Linked DNA regions of Anolis sagrei. The protein of the gene in region 2 interacts with the protein of the main gene of each other region in a pairwise test. Links are inferred from orthologs where the notes say so. Each region holds a gene or a part of one and is shown on either strand. Other genes may lie near its edges.

The links. The genes of interacting proteins can lie anywhere in the genome.
Region 1: the proteins of MID2 (region 2) and FARS2 interact in binary tests that used the Homo sapiens proteins (3 or more experiments, as listed by UniProt). The two-hybrid records come from large-scale screens. The link is inferred for Anolis sagrei from reciprocal best matches to the Homo sapiens genes MID2 and FARS2.
Region 3: the proteins of MID2 (region 2) and DCX interact in binary tests that used the Homo sapiens proteins (3 or more experiments, as listed by UniProt). The two-hybrid records come from large-scale screens. The link is inferred for Anolis sagrei from reciprocal best matches to the Homo sapiens genes MID2 and DCX.

Annotation. Positions count from the first base shown.
Region 1 is NC_090024.1:86,269,681-86,277,254, forward strand, and holds the start of FARS2 (phenylalanine--tRNA ligase, mitochondrial), read right to left. Parts: upstream 3,005-7,574; 5' UTR 2,914-3,004; intron 1-2,913. Other genes in the region: LYRM4 (LYR motif-containing protein 4), read left to right, coding at 3,086-3,171. UniProt on the Homo sapiens protein: Is responsible for the charging of tRNA(Phe) with phenylalanine in mitochondrial translation.
Region 2 is NC_090030.1:10,913,916-10,921,152, forward strand, and holds the start of MID2 (probable E3 ubiquitin-protein ligase MID2), read left to right. Parts: upstream 1-4,228; 5' UTR 4,229-4,619; intron 4,620-7,237. UniProt on the Homo sapiens protein: E3 ubiquitin ligase that plays a role in microtubule stabilization. Mediates the 'Lys-48'-linked polyubiquitination of LRRK2 to drive its localization to microtubules and its proteasomal degradation in neurons.
Region 3 is NC_090030.1:18,943,269-18,950,384, reverse strand, and holds the start of DCX (neuronal migration protein doublecortin), read left to right. Parts: upstream 1-4,112; 5' UTR 4,113-4,739; intron 4,740-5,140; exon of another isoform or gene 5,141-5,165; intron 5,166-5,725; exon of another isoform or gene 5,726-5,818; intron 5,819-6,004; exon of another isoform or gene 6,005-6,136; intron 6,137-6,271; 5' UTR 6,272-6,298; coding exon 6,299-6,662; intron 6,663-7,116. UniProt on the Homo sapiens protein: Microtubule-associated protein required for initial steps of neuronal dispersion and cortex lamination during cerebral cortex development. May act by competing with the putative neuronal protein kinase DCLK1 in binding to a target protein.

The DNA.
Region 1 (7,574 bases), on a different chromosome or scaffold from region 2:
TATTATTATTCGGCAGGGCTTGGATAAGTGGTTCTCAACCTGTGGGTCCCCAGATGTTTTGACTTTCAACTCCCAGAAATTCCGACAGCTGGCAAACTGGCCGGGATTTCTGGGAGTTGTAGGCCAAAACACCTGGGGACCCACAGGTTGAGAACCACTGGATTAGATGAAGCAGTAGTAGACACCTCAGTTAAACTACTAAGCTGCTGACCCTGCTGACTAAAAGGTTTGTGGTTCGAATCCGGGGAGCGGGCTGAGCTCCCGCTGTTAGCCCCAGCTTCTGCCAACCTAGCAGTTTGAAAACATGCAAAAGTGAGTAGATCAATAGGTACCGCTTCTGCGGGAAGGTAATGGTGCTGGATGCAATCATGCTGGCCACATTACCTTGGAGGTGTCTATAGACAATGCCGGCTCTTCAGCTTAGAAATGGAAATGAGCACTACTCCCCAGAGTCGGATTCGACTAGTGTCAAGGGGAAACCTTTACCTTTACTAAACCAACTCGGTCGCTTTCACTATGTCACCAATTTGGGGAGATGGTGGTGGGGTATAAATAAAGTTTATTATTATTATTATTATTATTAAATGGGTAGAAAGGTGGGTAATGACAGTGCGACTAATCAAAATTGGGTGGAGGTAGTGCTTGTAGTTCTGGAGGGACTCTAATTTTTGCTTCTCATATATTTGGGATTGGGTTGACCTGCAACATTTTGGGGTTGGTTTGAACCCCTAAACCGCCCCTTTGGCTACGGCAGGGTTTCTCAACCTGGGGGTTGGGACCCCTCGGGGGGGGGTCGTGAGGGTGTGTCAGAGGGGTCATCAAAGATGTAATCTATGTAATTTCTTTATGCTTGTGGGTAAACAGTATTTCTTGTTGTCTCTTTGTCAGTGTTGATGTGGAAAGTGTCCGGTTTGCCTACTCTGGAAAATGCAATATATTATTGTCCTTCTTTAGGGGTCCCTTTAAAATCTATGATATTACATCTGTGTGTGTGTGTGAATCATATCTATCTATATATATCTATGGCTGGATGGCTCTTTGTCAGGAGGGCTTTGATTAGATTTTCTTGCCCTGGTGAAGAGAGTTGGACTAGATGGCCTCAAGTATTTTCTGTTGGTGATGGGGTTCAGCGTGGAAAATGTGTCCCAATTCTGTTGTTTGTGGGGTTCAGAATGCTCTTTGTTTGTAGGTGAACTATAAATCCCAGTAACTACAACTACCAAATGCCAAGGTCTATTCCCCCCAAACTCCACCTGTGTTCATATTTGGGCATATGGAGTATTTGTGTCAAGTTTGGTCCAGATTCATCATTGTTTGAGTCCACAGTGGTCTCTGGATGTAGGTGAACTACAACTCCAAAACTCAAGGTCAATGCCCACCAAACCCTTCCAGTGTGTTCTGTTGGTCATGGAAGTCCTGTATGCCATGTTTGGATGAATTCCATCATTGGTGGAATTCAGAATGCTCTTTGATTGTAGGTGAACTATAAATCCCAGTAACTACAACTACCAAATGTCAAGGTCTATCCCCCCCCCCCCCAAACTCCACCTGTGTACATATTTGAGCATATGGCATATTTGTGCCAAGTTTGGTCCGGATCCATCATTGTTTGAGTCCACAGTGGTCTCTGGATGTAGGTGAACTACAACTCCTACAAGGTCAATGACTGCCAAACCCTTCTAGTCTTTTCTGTTGGTCATGGGAGTCCTGTGTGTCACCTTTGGTTCAATTCCATCATTGGTGGAGTTCAGAATGCTCTGTGATTGTAGGTGAACTATAATTCCCAGCAACTACAACTACCAAATGTCAAGGTCTATTTCCCTTAAACTCCATCTGTGTTCATATTTGGTCATATGGAATATTAGTGTCAAGTTTGGTCCATCATTGTTTGAGTCCACAGTGCTCTCTGGATGTAGGTGAACTACAACTCCCAAACTCAAGGTCAATGCCCACCAAACCCTTCCAGTGTGTTCTGTTGGTCATGGAAGTCCTGTATGCCATGTTTGGATGAATTCCATCATTGGTGGAATTCAGAATGCTCTTTGATTGTAGGTGAACTATAAATCTCAGCAACTACAACTCCCAAATGACAAAATCATAATTTTTTGAGTGATGGTCACTCCTTGTGTTGTGAGATGTTTTGTAGCCAAATTTGGTGTGATTTTGTTCATTGGCTCTTTTGTTTTTAAGGTACTCATTATGCACAGAGCATTTATATATATATATATGGCACAAATCTATATATATATATATATATATATATATATATATATATATTTCTGTTGGTCATGGAAGTCCTGTATGCCATGTCTAGAAGGGTTTGGTGGGCATTGACCTTGAGTTTGGGAGTTGCAGTTCACTTACATCCAGAGACCACTGTGGACACAAACAATGATGGAGTTGACAAATCTATATAGGTTTGTGCCAAGTTTGGTCCAACTCCATCATTGTTTGAGTCCACAGTGTCTCTGGATGTAAGTGAACTGCAACTCCCAAACTCAAGGTCAATGCCCACCAAACCCTTCTAGTCTTTTCTGTTGGTCATGGGAGCCCTGTGTACTAAGTTTGGCCCAATTCCATCATTGGTGGGGTTCAGAATGCTCTTTGATTGTAGGTGAACTATAAATCCCAGCAACTACAACTCCCAAATGACAAAATCAATTTTTTCGAGTGAAGGCCATACATTGGGTTGTTAGGTGTCTTGTGTCCAAATTTGGTGTCAATTCGTCCAGTGGTTCTTGAGTTCTGTTAATCCCACAAACAAGCATTACATTTTTATTTATATAGATTGGGTTGACTTGCAACTTTTCGGGGTTGGTTTGCACCCCTCACCCGCCCCTTGGCTACAGGCTTGCACCAGAGTGCATAGCGAGGAGGGAGGCCCAGTGGCTCGCGCGCCCGCCTCCCACTCACCTTCCTCTTCCTCCCACGGCCTCCACGCGGGACTCGGCCGGCTGCTTTCCAGCGCCGGGCCCTCCTCTTCCGGGACCGGCCTTCGAGGAAGGAAGGAAAGGCAGGGAAGGAAGGAGGGAGGGCCTAAGAAGAGCGCCGGGGCCTGGAGGCGGCCTCCGCGTGTGTTGACAACATGGCCGCAGCCCGGCGGGCTCAGGCGCTGCGCCTCTACCGGGCCCTCCTGCGGGAGAGCCAGGCCTTCGCCGCCTACGGGTACAGGTAGGACGAGGAGGAGGAGGAGAGGCCTCGGCCCCGTCCCCACGCCCAGAAAGGCCTCCCTGTCCACAGGGTTTCCTTCATCCCTTATAGGCACCAGTGAATGTAGAAAGTATGCTTCCTAGCCTCATGTTATCCTCAGAAATCCACTGATCGGGGTGGGAAAACTTCAAGAGCTAATACAGTTATTATTATTATTTTTATTATTGTTATGAGCTAAGGACCCTTCACCTGGAAGTGTCTTCTTCATGGTGGTGTCCTTGTAATTATTATTAACTAATACCACCATGATCAATAATAACAACAATATAATTAATAATAATACTACCATGATCAATAATAACAACACAATAATACGACCATGATCAATAATAATAACAACATTAAAATCGTGTTACATAGTTCATGCTATCATTATTCATACCACTATGTTAAGTAGTAATAATAGCACAATAATTAATAACACCGCCATGCTTAATAGCAGTAATACCATAATTAATAATAACACCATGATTATTAACAGTAACACCATAATTAATAATAATACCTCTATATTATTAAAATTGTGTCATATAGTATATGGTATTATTATTATTATTCATACCACTATGATAAGTAGTGGCACAGTGGGTTAAAGCGCTGAGCTGCTGAGCTTGTTGACCGAAAGGTCTCAGAATGGCGTGAGCTTCCTTGGTCAGCCCTAGCTTCTGCCAATCTAGCAGTTCAAAAACATGCAAATGTGAGTAGATCAATAGGTACCGCAAGGAGCCCCCGGTGGTGCAGTGGGTTAAACCCCTGTGCCGACAGGACTGAAGACCGACAGGTCGCAGGTTTGAATCCGGGGATAGGCGGATGAGCTCCCTCTATCAGCTCCAGCTTCTCATGCAGGGACATGAGAGAAGCCTCCCACAAGGATGATAAAAACATCAAATCATCCGGGCGTCCCCTGGGCAATGTCCTTGCAAACAGCCAATTCTCTCACACCAGAAGCGACTTGCAGTTTCTCAAGTCGCTCCTGACACAACAAAAAAAAAAGATACCGCTCCGGCAGGGAGGTAATGGTACTCCATGCAGTCATGCCAGCCACATGACCATGACAATGCCGGCTCTTCGGCTTAGAAATGGAGATGAGCACCACACCCCATCTTTAATAATAATACCACCATAATATTAAAATTGTGCCACATAGTGTATGGTATTATTATTATTATTATTATTTATGATAACAATAATAACATTAATAATAATACCACTGTAATATTAAAATCGTGTTACATAATGTATGGTATTATTCATGCCACCATGATCAATAATAACAATAATAAGAATAGCACCATAACTAATAATAACACCACCATGATATGAAAATCATCTTACATAGTGTATGGTATTATTATTATTATTATTATTATTCATACCACCATGATCAATAATAACACAATAACTAATAATACTGCTGCCATCATTAATAATAACACCACCAGAATTAATATTAATATTAAATTGTGTTACATAGTGTATGATATTATTATTCATACCACTGTGATCACTAGTAATAATAACACCAGAATGTATAATACCACAATGATTAATAGCAGTAATACCATAATTAATAATAGTAACACCATAATGAATAATAACACCATGGTTAATAACAAGAATAACACCATAATTAATAATTATATCACCAAGATTAATAATAATAACACCATACACTATGTAACACAATATTATTGTTTATGGTGTTATTATTATGGTGTTATTGTTATTATCATGGTGGTATTATTATACACTATTACATAGTATATGGCATTATGAATCACAATATTTATTTATTGGAGTCAATTTTTACCCCGCTTTTCTCCCACACCAAGGCAAGACTCAAAGCAGCTAACAATACAATAAGAACATACAAAGTAAAGATTAAAACAGATTCAAACCAATAAATTCCTTATAGCAACCTGATTGAGTCTCAACCAATTCAGCAGTTTGTGGCAGCTACAAAAATGATGTTTCTGAAATATAACAACTTTCAAAGTAAATATTGCAAAATTTAACAGGAAATTGTACTTTCAAACCAGGAACAGAATCTTTTTCAAATTGTATGACATAGTGATAATACCACCATGATGAATATGACACCACCATAATTTATCATAATAATATGAATACAATGATAATAATGCTATAATAATACCACAATGATAGATGATAATAAAATACTATTATTAATATTAGCAATGTCAGGCTCTGCATCTCGTAGTGCCAGAACGCTGTCTGTTCAGTGCCTTCCAAGTTGCCCAGTCTTCTCTGTGCCCAGGAGGGAGTCTCTCATTTGGTATCAGCCGTAGATTGAGGTTCCAGGTTTTAGCCTGCCATTTTTGGATTATCATTTGTGGAGGCATTCCTGCAAGTATCTTTGTAGATCTTAGAAAACTATTTCTTGATTTAAGGCGTTGATGTGCTGGCTGATATCCGAACAGAGAATGGGCCAGAGATGTCTCTGCCTTGGCCCTTTCATTATTGGCTGCTACTTCCTGGTGGATGTCAGGTGGTGCAAAACCAGCTAACAGTATACTTCTTCCAGTGATGTGGGGCATGACATTATTACATTATTACATTATCCTGTGATAATGTGTATGTGTCATTAAGGGCCAAATCCATTATTTTAACTGTGAAATGTGTTCTACACTGGACATGCATATTCAGCAACAGAATAGCAAAGCTCAAGGGCAGATGTCTTCACTGTGTCTGGTTGTGATCCCCAAGTTGTGTCAGTCAGCTTTCGTATGATATTATTTCTACCACCCACTTTTTGCTTGATATTCAAGTAGTGCTTCTTATAAGTCAGAGCACGGTCCAGGATAACTTCCAGGTATTTTGATGTTGCGTCCTTGGGAGTGTTTCCTTCATAATGGTAATAGTATTAATAGTTTTTAAAAAGTTCTGGTAAAACAAAACTGCAGAGGGATGCAACTAGTTTGGCGACAAATAAATAGGGATGTTATTGATGCAATTGCTGCTTGACCAAATTTGGAGAAGCAAAAGGGTTTTTTTTCTTTTCTTTTTTTGTTATTCTTTTTGAAGGCAAAGGCAGCAACAATTTTGTTTTCTTTTGTCTTTACATTTCTGGAATTGCTCTTCAAAGGGGGAGGGGAAACCAGGCATGACCCCTTTCAAACAACCTATGCTATTCAATCCTAAAGAGTCTAAATGGTTTCAGAAACTTGCACTGTGAAATGCAGGACAGAAAAGACTGGAGGTGCATGTCTGGGATAAAAATAACATAATAATGTATTGCCAGTGTGATTTGACTGTTGGGCCCCAACTCTGGAAGCCAGGGAATCCCTATTTGGCCATAAGAAATACACTGGAAGCCTTGGGCAAGTCATACTCTCTCAGCCTCAGAGGGAGGCAAAGGCAAACCTCATCTGAACAAATCTCACTATGAGATCAGGATTATTTTATTAATACTATGCATTTTAAACTCACATCTTGTGTTCACTATATATTAATCTTTTTTTCTGTATATTTCAGTACATGTATTGCAGAAATACATTTTAATATGTGGGTATTATATAATAATTATGGCGATTATGTGTTTTGAGCTATGTTGTAACCTGCCATCATCAATAATAATAATAATAATAATAATATTTCCAGAATCTTAGGGATACTATACATTGGAAACAACTTGAAGTCTCACAACAGCAACTGACTCTTAATACACTTGAGTCCTGGCTGGAAAGGTTGTCACTATCATTAGCAGGTAGCAGATGTTCACTCAAAACAGCAAAAAAAATATGCACTCGGACCTATAGCCTTTAAACTTGCTTGCTGGTTTACAGGACAGACCCTCATTGCTCTTATTGGATTCACATTCATTAGACTTTTGTGTGGAAAACAGAATCGGGTGCATTTTATTTTTTGCATCAGGCCATAAAATATCTCAAGCCAGCCTTGAGTTCTGGAGTATTTCCAGAATGATGACACTCCCAAGAATAAGGCAAGACGTGAGTAACCTTTCTTGTCAACCTGAATGTCAAAGATGATGACATCTGAATCGCCTGTAAAATTCCATTAACAAACAAAGCCACTGCATAGTTAAAACCTCATCTGGCAGCATCCCTGCCTATGTCGTAGTGTAACAAGGTGCTGATTTGTTGTTGCTGTGTTATTTCAAGTCATTTCCAACTTATGGTGACCCCATTGTGGGGTTTTCTTGGTACAATTTGCTTAAAGGGGATTTGCCTTTGGGCGAATCAGACTCGCTCAGTGGCTGAATGAGTCCGATTTACCCAAGGTCACCAAGTGGGATTCTGTGGCTGAGCAGGTACTCGAACCCAGCATCTTAGTCCAACACCCAGACTACTACATGAAATTGATCCATTGGGTATTTTCTATTT
Region 2 (7,237 bases):
TGAAGGGCTGCCAGGACCAGCAGCTCAGTCAGTAGCTAGCAGGGAACAACAACAGTTGCATTCTGACACTGAGGAAGCTAACCCTGCAGTGCAGGACCAATAGCCTCATTACACTAGAGAAAAATCCACTTAAAATCCAATTTCTGCCTCCTGCAGAACTCTGGGGTTTGTAGTTTAGGGAGGAGCCTTTAACAGCCTCACTAAACTAAAAACCTCAGAATTCTGCAGGATTTTAAGTGGATTTTTTCTCTAGTGTGATGCAAGTGCCTCAGGCAAGCGGGAGTCCTGAGTTAACTCCGGGTCAGGAGAGCAATGAGGCAGAGTTAAGTATCCCAGAAAGACTGCAACTGAGGACTGATGCTATTCAGCTGCACAGATCCACTTGGTTGGCACAGAGAAGGGCCAACAGGTGAGAGGTATAAAGAGTGGTAGTTTGGATTTGGTCTTTGTTAGGAGCAATATTTGGAGTTCTGTCTGATGACATAGTGTGCCTGTTTTGGACCCTGACTTTGAAACTTTGGATTATGCATAGATTTGGATGTTTTGGTGAGGACATTTGACTATGACTTTTGAAATACCCCTGCATTGTTGCTTGGATCTGCATTGGCTTGGATCCTGGAGTGGCTGAATAGTGAGTGACTGTTTTATATTTCTTAAGGTTCGCTCTGCATCTCGTGGTGCCAGAGTGCAGTCTATTCAGCACCTTCCAGGTTGCCCAGTCTTCTGTGTGCCCAGGAAGAAGTCTCTCATTGGGTATCAGCCGTTGATTGAGGTTCCGGGTTTTCGCCTGCCATTTTTGGACTCTTGCTTGCTGAGGTGTTCCTGCATGTATCTCTGTAGATCTTAGATAACTATTTCTTGATTTAAAGTGTTGGCGTGCTGGCTGATATCCGAACAGAGGATGGGCTGGAGATGTCACTGCCTTGGTCCTTTCATTATTGGCTGTTATTTTCCGGTGGATGTCAACAGTGGTACAATACCGGCTAAACAGTATAATTTTTCCAGTGCTGTAGGGTGCAGACATCATGTGATAATGCGGCATGTCTCATTCAGAGCCACATCCACTGTTTTAACATGGTGATATGTGTTTCACGCTTGGTATGCGTACTCAGCAGCAGAGTAGCAAAGCGCAAGGGCAGATGTCTTCACTATATCTGGTTGTGATCCCCAGGTTGTGCCAGTCAGCTTCACCTCACAATTAAACATGAAATAACACTTTCAAACCGGGAACAGAAAAATTTGCAAATTTTGTTACATAGTGTTATCTTATAGCAGCAACATGTACCAATGTTCAGCATCAAGCGAGGTGTTGTAGAGTCCTAAAACACTTAATTCCAGAACAGAATAAATCTTAACGGCACATGCTACGTCCAGCAATGTGCACCATGAAATTAGAAAGTCTGACTTCAAAAGAAGTACTCACAATACTTATGTTTTTGTCTTTTCACCATCACATTATAATGTCTCCTTTGATGTTGGCGGCATCTGCGTCCCCTCCCCCTGTAATGGTAGCACATTTCCCAGGCGAAGGGAAATGCGGAAAACCGTGACAGGCGTGGGGCACCCAATTTTCCACGATACGTGATTGTTTTGGCGTTCTGCTAATTTCTGTCACCACGGCTATGCTTTTTACTCACATTGTTTTACAGAGAAAAGAAAGTAGTTGCAAGGAAATCCAGACAAAAAATATCTGTCTTTAAGACCTAAAAGACATTATGAATTTTTCAAGCTATCCAGATTTTTGAAAATTATTATTAAAGTGCAGCCCAATGACTCTGCTTATTGTTAAAGATTGGAGTAAGGCACTTGAATTAACTTTTTAAAATAATTACAATGCAATAAAACATGTCTTTACTGGCTCATAAATTTGCCATCGGAGTGTTCTGTGGCTCAGCATTGCTTCTATATGGGCACTCATCCATTCCATAGGAAAGTGTGCAGAAACAAGCTTAATGGTGTAACATTAGAAAACGTTGACCATTTCCGCTCCCTTGGCAGCCACCTCTCCACCAAAGTCAACATCGACACACAAATACAACACCGCCTGAGCTCTGCGAGTGCAGCATTTTTCTGAATGAACAGAGAGTGTTTGAGGACTGGGACATCTGTAGGGAGACCAAGGTGCTTGTCTATAAAGCTATTGTCCTCCCAACCCTGCTCTATGCCTGTGAAACGTAGACTGTCTACAGATGTCACATGCAACTCCTAGAACGATTCCATCAGCGCTGCCTCCGGAAAATCCTGCAAATCTCTTGGGAAGACAGGCGGACAAACATCAGTGTGCTGGAAGAAGCAAAGACCACCAGCACTGAAGCGATGGTCCTCCGCCATCAACTCCGCTGGACCGGCCACGTTGTCCGGATTCCTGACCACTGTCTCCCAAACCAGTTGTTCAAAATAAATAAATAAATATAGTTCACCTACAATCAAAGAGCATTTTGAACCCCAGCAATGATAGAATTGCCACACTTCCCACACAAAACCTCCCATGACCAACAGAAAATACTGGAAGGGTTTGGTGGACATTGACCTTGGGTTTTGGAGTTGTAGTTCACCTACATCCAGAGAGCTCTGCCTACTCACACAATGATTGATCTGGACCAAACTTGGCACGAATACTCAATATGCCTAAATGTGAACACTGGTGGAGTTTGGGGAAAATAGACCTTGAGATTTGAGAGTTGTAGTTCATCTATATCCAGAGAGCACTGTCTACTCACACAATGATTGATCTGGACCAAACTTGGCACAAATACTCAATATGCCTAAATGTGAACGCTGTTGGAGTTTGGGGGAAATAGACCTTGACATTTGGGAGTTGCAGTTGCTGGGCTTTATAGTTCACCTACAATCAAAGAGCATTCTGAACCTCACCAATGATAGAACTGGGCCAAACTTCCCACACAGAACCTCCATGATGAACATAAAATACTGTGTTTTCTGATGGTCTTTGGGGACCCCTCTGATACCCCCTCACGACCCCCTGGTTGAGAAACACTGCCATAGATGCAGGCGAAACGTCAGGAGGGAATGCTTCTAGTGCAGTGGTTCTCAACCTTCCTAATGCCATGACCCCTTAATACAGTTCCTCATGTTGTGGTGACCCCCAACCATAACCCTAACATTATGAATCGCCATGTAAATAATGATCTGCAGGATGTATTTTCATTCACTGGAGCAAATTTGGCACAAATACCTGGTATGCCCAAATTTGAATACTGGTGGGGTTGGCGGGGGGATTGATTTTGCCATTTGGGAGTTGTAGTTGCTGGGATTTATAGCTAACCTGTAAACAAAGAGCATTCTGAACCCCACTAACAATGGAATTGAACCAAAGTTGGCACACAGAACTCCCATGACCAACAGAAAATACTAGAAGGGTTTGGAGGACATTGACCTTGGGTTTTGGAGTTGTAGTTCACCTACATCCAGAGAGCTCTGCCTACTCACACAATGATTGATCTGGACCAAACTTGGCACGAATACTCAATATGCCTAAATGTGAACACTGGTGGAGTTTGGGGGAAATAGACCTTGACATTTGGGAGTTGCAGTTGCAGGGATTTATAGTTCACTTACCATCAAAGAGCATTCTGAACCTTACCAATGATAGAATTGGGCTAAACTTCCCACACAGAACCTCCATGATGAACAGAAAATACTGTGTTTTCTGATGGTCTTTGGAGATCCCTCTGAAACCCCCTCACGACCCCCAGGTTGAGAAACACTGCCATAGTTGCAGGTGAAACGTCAGGAGGGAATGCTTCTAGTGGTACTCAACCTGGGGTCCCCAGATGTTTTTGGCCTTCAACTCCCAGAAATCCTAACAGCTAGTAAACTGGCAGGGATTTCTGGGAGTTGTAGGAGAAAAACATCTGGGGACCCCAGGTTGAGAACCACTGTTCTAGTGGTTCTCAACCTGGGGTCCCCAGATGTTTTTGGCCTACAGCTCTCAGAAATCTCTGCTAGTTTGCCAGCTGTTAGGATTTCTGGGAGTTGAAGGCCAAAAACATCTTGAGAACCACGGTGGCATCCTCAAACAACCCAGTTTGAGGATGCCTACAGTAGATAGACTCTTGCAGAGGTGAGGATCCCTCAACAAGAGAGAAACATGTTGGGAGGGGGCTAGGTTTGGGGTGGGCGGGGCTGGCAGGTTTTGGGAGCCACACCCCTCGGAGGGGGGGGGGAGAAAGCCACGCCCCTCTGGGCTCCAGAAGAGAAAGAGACAATATATCGATTAGACCCTCCCCGGCTATTATTCCTAGGCAGGTAGAGGTGTCAGAGACTCCTCTCTGGCTCTGGGAGGCATTGTGAGTCCGTCGGAGAGGAAGAGGAGGAGGAGAGGAAGAGGAGGGCGAGCTGATTTGGGCGGGAGGCGGTCCGCAGGGCTGGCTCGGGCTTCTTCCTTCTCTCCTCCCTCCTTCCTCCCCAATCCCAGCCCTCCTCTCCTCTCCTCTCTTCTTTCCTTCCCTCCTCCCTCCCTTCCTTTCGGAGGCGCTCCTCCTCCTCCACTTCTTCTTCTTCCTCCTCTTCCTCCTCCTCCTCTCCGCGCCTCCAGCAAGATGACAGCCGGGCGGCAGGAGCGGTGGCGTCGGCGCGGAGGGTCTTCGCTCCGGCTGGTAGGTCTGCCTCCCTCCTTCCCTCCTTCCCTCCCCAAAGACCGGGACAAAGAGCCAGAGCCGCCCTTCCTTTCCCTTCCCTCCGCGAAGAGAGTCACCCTTGATTGACTCTCTCTACGGAGGAAAGGGAAGGCTGGCTCGAGCTCCCACCTTCTTGGCCGGGTGGGAGCTTCTTCCTTCTCCTCCTCCTCCTCCGGGAAGGGGCGGGGGTCTCTTCTTCTTCTTCCTCCTCCGACGGGTGGGGCCAAGGGGGCATCATCATCCTCATCATCATCCCCTTGGCAAGAAGTGTGTGTCCCCCCCCCCTCCCTCTTCTCTCTGACTCTCTCACTTCCCAATGCTCAGGAATGTCCAGTTGGAAGCCTGGCTTCCCATCCCATTGGGTTGGACGCCCCCAGACCCCAAGGGGAGGCAGCCTCCTTGGCAAGGGGACAACAAACCCCATCCCTTCTTTAGGGGTATGGTTATCATATGATTGATCTTCCTCCAAGTGGATTAACACAGTGTTTCTCAGTCTTCCTAATGCTGCGACTCCTTAAGACAGTTCCTCATGTTGTGGTGAACCCCAACCCTAATATTTTTGTTGCTACTTCACAACTGATTGAAGCTCTGGACATCCAAAGAGAGGCTTTACCAGATCAAGCTTATCATGAGCAATGGACCCACTCCCATCTATACAAATAATAATATAATCCAGGTCCTCATGTTGTGGTGACCCCCAACCCTAATATTATTTTTGGTGGTACTTCACAACTGATTGAAGCTCTGGACATCCAAAGAGAGGCTTTACCAGACCGAGCTGGAGATGTAGGGGACTTATCATGAGCAACGGACCCACTCCCATCTATACGAATAATAATATAATCCAGTTCCTCATGTTGTGGTGACCCCCAAGCATAATATTATTTTTTGTGGCTGCTTCACAACTGATTGAAGCTCTGGAGATCCAAAGAGAGGCTTTACCAGACCAAGCTTATCATGAGCAATGGACCCACTCCCACCTATACAAATAATAATATAATCCAGTTCCTCATGTTGTGGTGACCCCCCAACCATAATATTATTTTTGTTGCTACTTCACAACTGATTGAAGCTCTGGACATCCAAAGAGAGGCTTTACCAGATCATAGAATCAAAGAGTTGGAAGAGACCTCGTGGGCCATCCAGTCCAACCCCATTCCGCCAAGAAGCAGGAATATTGCATTCAAATCACCCCTGATGGATGGCCATCCAGCCTCTCTTTAAAAGCTTCCAAAGAAGGAGCCTCCACCACACTCAGGGGCAGAGAGTTCCACTGCTGAACAGCTCTCACAGTCAGGAAGTTCTTCCTCATGTTCAGATGGAATCTCCTCTCTTGTAGTTTGAAGCCATTGTTCCACGTCCTACTCTCCAAGGAAGCAGAAAACAAGCTTGCTCCCTCATCCCTGTGGCTTCCTCTCACATATTTATACATGGCTATCATATCTCCTCTCAGCCTTCTCTTCTTCAGGCTAAACATGCCAAGCTCCTTAAGCCGCTCCTCATAGGGCTTGTTCTCCAGACCCTTGATCATTTTAGTCGCCCTCCTCTCGACACATTCCAGCTTGTCAATATCTCTCTTGAATTGTCATGCCCAGAATTGGACACAATATTCCAGGTGTGGTCTAACCAGAGCAGAATAGAGGGGTAGCATTACTTCCCTAGATCTAGACACTAGGCTCCTATTAATGCAGGCCAAAAGCTTATCATGAGCAACGGACCCACTCCCATCTATACAAATAATAATATAATCCAGTTCCTCATGTTGTGATGACCCCCAACCATAACATTATTTTAGTTGCTACTTCACAACTGTAATTTTTCTCCTGTTGTGAATAGTTATGTAAATATCTGATATGCAGGATGTATTTTCATTCACTGGACCAAATTTGGGACATGTACCCGATATGCCCAAATTTGAATACTGGTAGGGTTGGAAGAGGGGTTATTTTGTCATTTGGGAGTTGTAGTTGCTGGGACTTATAGTTCACCTACAGTCAAAGAGCATTCTGAACTCCCCCAACAATGGAATTGAACCAGACTCGCATGACCAACAGAAAACACTGGAAGGGTTTGGTGGGCATTAACCTTGAGTTTTGGAGTTGTAGTTCACCTACATCCAGAGAGCACTGTGGACTCGAACACTGATGGATCTGGACCAAACTTGGCATGGATACTCAATATGCTCAAATGTGGATACTGGTGGAGTTTGGGGGAAATAGACCTTGACATTTGGGAGATGTGGTTGCTGGGATTTATAGTTCATCTACAATCAGAGAGCACTCTGAACCCCACCAACAATAGAATTAGGCCAAACTTCCCACACAGAACCCCCATGACCAACAGAAAATTCTGTCTTTTCTGATGGTCTTTGGTGACCCTCCCCCCGACACCCCATTGTGACCTTCCCAGGGGTCCTGACCCCCAGGTTGAGAAATGCTGGACATCAAAGCATTACCATAGCCGAGGCATGGGGAAACAGAATGGGGTTGGACTGGATGACTCATGAGGTCTCTTCCAACTCTGAGGTTCCAGAGTTGAGGGTCATTTGCCATTGAGAAGGAAGATCTGCTCTCTCTCTCTCGTTCCCACCAACTGAG
Region 3 (7,116 bases), about 8.0 Mb from region 2:
TCCCAGCAACTACAACTCCCAAATGACAAAATCAATTCCCTCCCCAATCCAAATAAATTTTGGGTGCATTGGGTGTTTGTGCCAAATTTGGTCCAGTGAATGAAAATACATCCTTCCCAGAATAAGGACTCCCAAGCAATATGTCCCAAATGCACTTTATGAGAGATTTAGAACCTATCTCTAAAATAGCCATCCTATTTCCCTTGGACATGCCCAGCATTTTTAAATTTTAAGCCTTACATTTGGCCCTGCCACAGGTTTTTAAATGCATCGTGTCATTATTGTATTGTTTTGCTTTGTTATGAGTTATTTATTGTTGTATTGTTGTTGTTATGTTTTATTATGTATTTTGGGCTCGGCCTCTTGTAAGCCGCACCGAGTCCTGTGGGAGATGCTGTCGGGGTATAAATAAAGGATTATTATTATTATTATTATTATTATTATTATTATTATTATCCTGTATGTCAGATATTTACATTACGATTCATAACAGTAGCAAAATTACAGTTATGAAGTAGCAAAGAAAATAATTTTATGGTTGGGGGTCACCACAACATGAGGAAAGGTATTAAGGAGTCACGGCATTAGGAAGATTGAGAACCACTGCTGTAAGACAACCTAGGTCATTCACATAGATGGATAGTAAGGATAACACATTAAGTCTAAACTGTACCACTAATGCAGTTTGACTCCACTACTCCTGCCATGGCTCAATGCTTTGAAATCCTGGGAGATGTAGTTTAGTGAGATAGCAACATTTTTTGGCAGAGAAGGCTAAAGATCCTGCAAAACTGCAGTGCCCAGCACTAAAGAGCATTGAACCACAATGGTTAAAGTAATGTCAAACTGAAATAACTCTGTGTTTTCGAAGTCTTTCATGGTCGGAATCACTGGGTTGCTGGGAGTTTTTTGAGCTGTATGACCATGTTCCAGAAGCATTTTCTCCTGACGTTTCACCCACACCTATGGCAGGAATCCTCTGAGGTTGTGAGGATGCCTCAAAAACCTCACAATCTCTGAGGATGCCTGGCATGGATGTGAGTGAAACGTCAGGAGAAAATGCTTCTGGAACATGGTCATACAGCACAGAAAACTCATAGCAACCCTGTAATAACTCTGCCACGTAGATGCATTTTAAGACTACCATGTATTGTTTCTGTCTCCCATGAAATTTAACCAGTGGTCATTTACAATTACCAGCTCTCTCTGTGCAGACCCCACCCCCTAAATAAAGGGGGGAAAACGGCTCTCTCTTTACTCAAATATAATTGCTCAGGGAAAAAGAGCGTCTCTTTGCTACTGCTCGGAGGATAGAGCGCTTCCTTCATTTAGGCCAGGTAATTGAATCCAAGGAGCTATATTTAACATACCTCTTTATCTAAATGAATTTATTGATGGGGAGGAAAATGGATGCGCTGCCAGAGACTCTGTTGCTGACCGTGTCGGAAATGATTAAGTTGATGGCTTCACAAAAGCTGCTTGGCTCCCTGTACCTCCCCATCGTCCACCCGCACAGCCGGCAGAAAAGGATGTAATCAAGGGGAGCCACATCTCCAAGGGTGGCTGGTAGCATCCCAGAAAGCATCAGACAGGAGTTGGTCCAGCTAGGGATTTTGTATCCACCCAATCCTGGTCAACCCTAGGACGAATGTACTTGCTTATTCAGGTTGAACACTGGGATGAACAGCCAAGCTAAGAGGGGATGCAGCAGTTTGTTTTTGCCAGAGTCTCCTGGGAAGGGAGGCCTGTTAGCGATAATCATAGCATTGTAGACTCATAAAGTTGGAAGAGACTTCTAGGGTCATCCAATCTAACCCCCTTCTGCCAGTAAAGCAGTGGTTCCCCAACCATTTTTTTTAACCAGGGTCCACTTTGACAAGAGGCCACTTGACCAGGGACCACATTCCAACATTAGTACCAAAAGGGTTATGAATCAATGTATTGTCGAAGGCTTTCATGGCTGGAATCACTGGGTAGTTGTAGGTTTTTTCAGGCTATATGGCCATGTTCTAGAGGCATTCTCTCCTGATGTTTCGCCTGCATCTATGGCAAGCATCCTCAGAGGCAGTGAGGTCTGTTGGAACTAGGAAAATGGGTTTATATATCTGTGGAAAGACCAGGGTGGGACAAAGGACTCTTGTCTGCTGGAGCTAGGTGTGAATGTTTCAACTGACCACCTTGATTAGCATTTGATAGCCTGGAAGTGCCTGGAGAAATCTTTTGTTGAGAGGTGATTAGATGTCCCTGATTGTTTTCCCTCTGGAAAATCTGGCTACCTGTTTTAAAAAACTCTAAAATTAAAACAGCAAAACAGCAGATCAATATAATAACAATTAAAACAATATGTAAAACATTCATTAAACCAGTAAAAAAACAGTATTAATAGCCATCTGCTCACCCACAGAAAACCATATTTAATTAGTCTCAGCACTATAAGGGGTTTTTGTGAGACCAGCTGCATTCATTGCAATGGTGTAGTAATGGTGAGTCTGCAAACCTATTTTAGTTCTTGGGGACCACTGGTGGTCTACACACCACAGATTAGAAACCACTGCTCACTCACAGAAAACCGTATTTAATAAGCCTCAGCACTGTAAGAGGATTGTGCGAGACCAGTCGCATTTGTTGAAATTCGTCCATGGACCATATTTTAGTTCTTACTGACCACTGGTGGTCCACAGGCCACAGATTGGAAACCACTGCTCGCTCACAGCAAACCATATTTAATAAGCCTCAGCATTATAAGAGGATTTTGCGAGACCAGTTGCATTCATTGAAATTTGTCCACGGACCATATTTTAGTTCTTATGGACCACTGGTGGTCCACAGACCACAGATTGGAAACCACTGCTCACTCACAGAAAACCATATTAATAAGCCTCAGCACTATAAGAGGATTTTGTGAGACCAGTCGCATTAAAATTCGTCCACGGACCATATTTTAGTTCTTGCGGACCACTGGTGGTCCGTGGAGCACAGGTTGGGAACCAATGCATTAAAGAATACAGAATCCGAACACTCCTGGCAGAATCTATCTAGGCTCCAGAGAAGTGGACTCCACCAGACTCCAAATCATCAGTGGATTTCACTATCAAAAGCTCTGACTGCATGATTTTTTCCCACTTTTGTTTGGATGGAATCTCTTTTTTTTTGCAATTTAAAGCTATTGCTCTGTATCGTAGTCTCTGAAGCGATGGAGAACACATCTTCCATGTGACCTTCTTGTGTTAAAACAGGTAATGGCCAACTTGGGCCCTCCAGGTGTTTTGGACTTCAACTCCCACCATTCTTAACAGCTTCAGCCCCATACTTTCGCTCCTCAGCGGCTTAAGCTGAGGCGGCTGAGGGGGGAAGGGAAAGGAAAGGGCCTGAGGCTGTTAGGAATGGTGGGAGTTGAAGTCCAAAACACTTGGAGGACCCAAGTTGGCCTATGACTGTTTTAACACAAGAAGGTCCCACGTGTTAGCCTTTTAACACAAGGCTATCATGTCCCTTGTTCATGAGATTCATGAGGTCACGAAGAGTCAGAAGCAACTGAACGAATGAACAACAACAAATCATGTCCCTTCTTTGCTATTTCTTCTCCAATCTAAACATACTCAATTCTCTAATTCCTGGTTCCCAGACCTTTGACCTTTTTGGACAGCCTCCAGTTTGCCCATCTCCTTCTTGAATTATGGAGCCCAGACCTGGATGCAATATTCAAGGTGGCCTAATCAGAATAAAGTGGTATTATTCCTTTCCTTGATTTGGAAACTATCCTCCTATCGATGCAGCCTAGGTTATGATAATACACACACTATGCATTTACTTCATCTTCACTGTTATTATTTATTTTATTTTAATTTATTTATTTGAATTGTGGTGAAGTGATCAGCAACAACCAATGCTCTGTCCTCCAGATGTGACTGGACTTCAGTCTCCGCTGTCCCTCATCGAGGGCTCTGTGGCCTAGGGCTGATGGGTGCTGCAGTCCGAACACAACTGGCGGCCGCTGCTGCTCTGAAGACTGGTGCTGCTGTTGGCAAGGAGCCCAGACCGTTGCTCTCGCTGGGGATTGGCGTTGGCTGGTGATGTCATGCATCTGCAGAGCCATAAACTTGGGGTCCTTGGCGAAAGCCAGCAAACTGTCTCATCTCCGTATGTTGGGGATGACAGTCCGGTTTGTTGTGTGAGCACAAACCAGAGAGGACCAGGCGACATCACAACTTGCTCACCCTCTTCTTTGATTTGCATTGTCCGCAAGAAAGCTGTGATTTGGGCCGGAGTCAAGAATCGAACTTTCTCCACTTGCCACACCTTCACAGACTGAGTGACCATGCAGTGGCACCAGCTTTTTCTAGCTGGCACTGGAGAATCATGATGGTAACGCTCTTGGAAAATTTGGGAATAAAACAGTGAACAATGCCCCCCGAACTGGAGCTCAGTCACCTCTCTGCGGCCATTTGAGGAGCCCCAATCCAAAGGGGTGCTGCACCTCTTGAAAATCTAGAGTGAGAGTGCCTTCCAATGGCAATCCACCCTGACGGCAAAGCTCGCTGAGGCCAGATCACCCTTTGCAGAAGGGGCCCTGGGTGTGTGTGTGTGTCAGTGTGTGTCTGCACACACAAGGCACTAGGACCTAGGAGGAGTCCCGGCAAATCTGGCAGGAATTTCTTGCTTGGAGCTCAGACAACAAAGGCAGAGTGTGGCTGGCTTTCTCTCTCTCAGCATCTCCACCCTGCAAGAGCTGAAAACCGGTAAGTATTCCTTGGAAGCCTTTCCAGGCAGAGAAAGCAGCAGAGATGGGATGCCAAAGGCAGGGGAAGGAAAGAGAGAGTCAGGCTGGAGATGAAGGAGGTCCACGCCCCATCCAAAGCTCTGGCTTTTCAAAGTTGCATTGAGCTCCCATTGTTTCCAGTGTGATGTTTAGAGAGCAGCGAAGTAGTGCTGGGTTTGGGTGGGGATGATTTTTTTGGCAACTCTGGTGAAGGAAAAGCAATGGGAAGCTCCCTTCCCTGCATGACAGGAGTGAAGGTCAGGGACAGGTCACCGTGACTCCTCGAAAAGGAAGGCAGAGACTCTGGCAGAAGGCAAGCAACAGCTTTTCTCAGGATTTGTACCTGATCACCCAGCCTTGAGGTTTTTAATCCCATTTCAGCTGTGCGAAGCTGCGATGAGCAGATGTGAGTTGCATGCTAATAGCCTTGGACAGCCAAGAGTGATCGGGCTCATAGGTTTCGTGGGATCCCTTTGGAGGGGCTGGGATCCTTTGCATCTCCAGCTCATACCTGAGATGATCCCTGTCACTCCCCTTTTCCACACTATTCGCACACTGAACTAAGGCGCTTTCCCAATTCCACTAAGCGTGCGCTCAGAGCAGTGAACAATGAAAGGTGCTCTTGCGGTGGCGTGATGAGACTGCATCTGTCAGACACCTTCAGCAATTAAAATACACTTCATTAACAGGAAAAGGAAGGGTGCAGGGAGAAGTAACCATATTCTCCAATTGAATGACATCTGGTGTCAATATCATTTCATATCAACTCACCCACTGCTCTTGAATACGGTCCCCGCCCCATACTTTTTGTCTGAATTTCTAGGATTTCAAGGGTTTTCATAGGGAGTGGTGACTCTGGAGATGTGAGTAAGTGAGATGTGACTGCTCTTCTGGCTTTCAGACACTCACAAAGGATACAGCATTGTTGCCGTATCTCTGTCCAGCCATCAGCCATTCCAGTTTGATTCTCATTTGAAAGGTCCCTTTGGCTCAGGCTGTCTCTCCATCAGCATCTGGATAGGTTTGATACCCGAGCACAGGTTCTCAAGTCTTTGGAAGGTGGGATTCCTCTCTTCATTGTTGGTTCTATCCATCTACCGCTGAAGGGAAGTTTTGCATCAAAACTGCGGGGAACTTCATTCAGTTCAAACTGTTTGTAGCTGGCATGCATCCTGAAGTGACGCCCACAAACCTCTCCATCACATTCTCCTATTATTAGAAACCCAGGGTTGAGCCAGAGATAGAAATCCTTTGGTTCCAGGTTGTGTATCATTCAGTCAATTGTGTTGTTGAGATAGGACCCTCCCATTCCCTGTGCCTTACTCCCAAAAATACACAGAGGAGGGGGAAGTCCTTTGTGGCATCAATCCAAGCAAAGTAAGACATTGGGCAAGGCTTCGTTTTATTGGAAAGCACAAAGTTTAGCTTGAAGATCTGCTGTTAACAGTGTTTTCCTCTTTCTAGCTGACTATATTTTGTTTCCTTTGCACTCTTTCCTCCTCCACCTCCCAGCTTCACAACTTCAGGGCTCACCGAGCTATGGAACTTGATTTTGGACACTTTGACGAAAGAGACAAGGCGTCCAGAAACATGCGAGGCTCCCGGATGAACGGCCTGCCGAGCCCCACTCACAGTGCCCACTGCAGCTTCTACCGCACCCGGACCTTACAAGCCCTGAGCAACGAGAAGAAAGCCAAGAAGGTGCGCTTCTATCGCAATGGGGACCGCTACTTCAAGGGCATTGTGTACGCCGTCTCTGGAGACCGTTTCCGGAGCTTCGACGCCTTGCTTGCCGACCTGACCCGGTCCCTGTCCGATAACATTAACCTGCCTCAGGGAGTGCGCTACATTTACACCATCGATGGCAACAGGAAGATTGGGAGCATGGATGAGCTGGAGGAAGGTAATGAGCTGCAAGCGATGCTGGTGCATGGAGGGTGGAGAACACTGCAAGCCTTGATGCTTCACGCATTATGAGCTGAGCATGCCTCAGGTTAGGGTGCATGAATGTCAGTGGAGGGTATACTATACCCATTGATTCACCTCCCACAGCATTAGAGTTCATTCATAAATTGGAGTTTCTTATATTCTTGATTCATCTAGATAAGGGAAGTTGGGAATATGAACAATGGACCTCAGAGGAAGATTTAGATTAAATCTTTATGGAAAATATCAGAGACCGGATGTGGGATTTCCTGCAAATAAATCATGTGGGTTGTTGTGAATTTTCCGGGCTGTATGGCCATGTTCCAGAAGCATTATCTCCTGGCATTTTGCCTGCATCTATGGCAGGCATCCTCAGAGGTTGTGAGGTCTGCTGGAAACTAGGAAAATGGGGTTTATATATCTGTGGAATG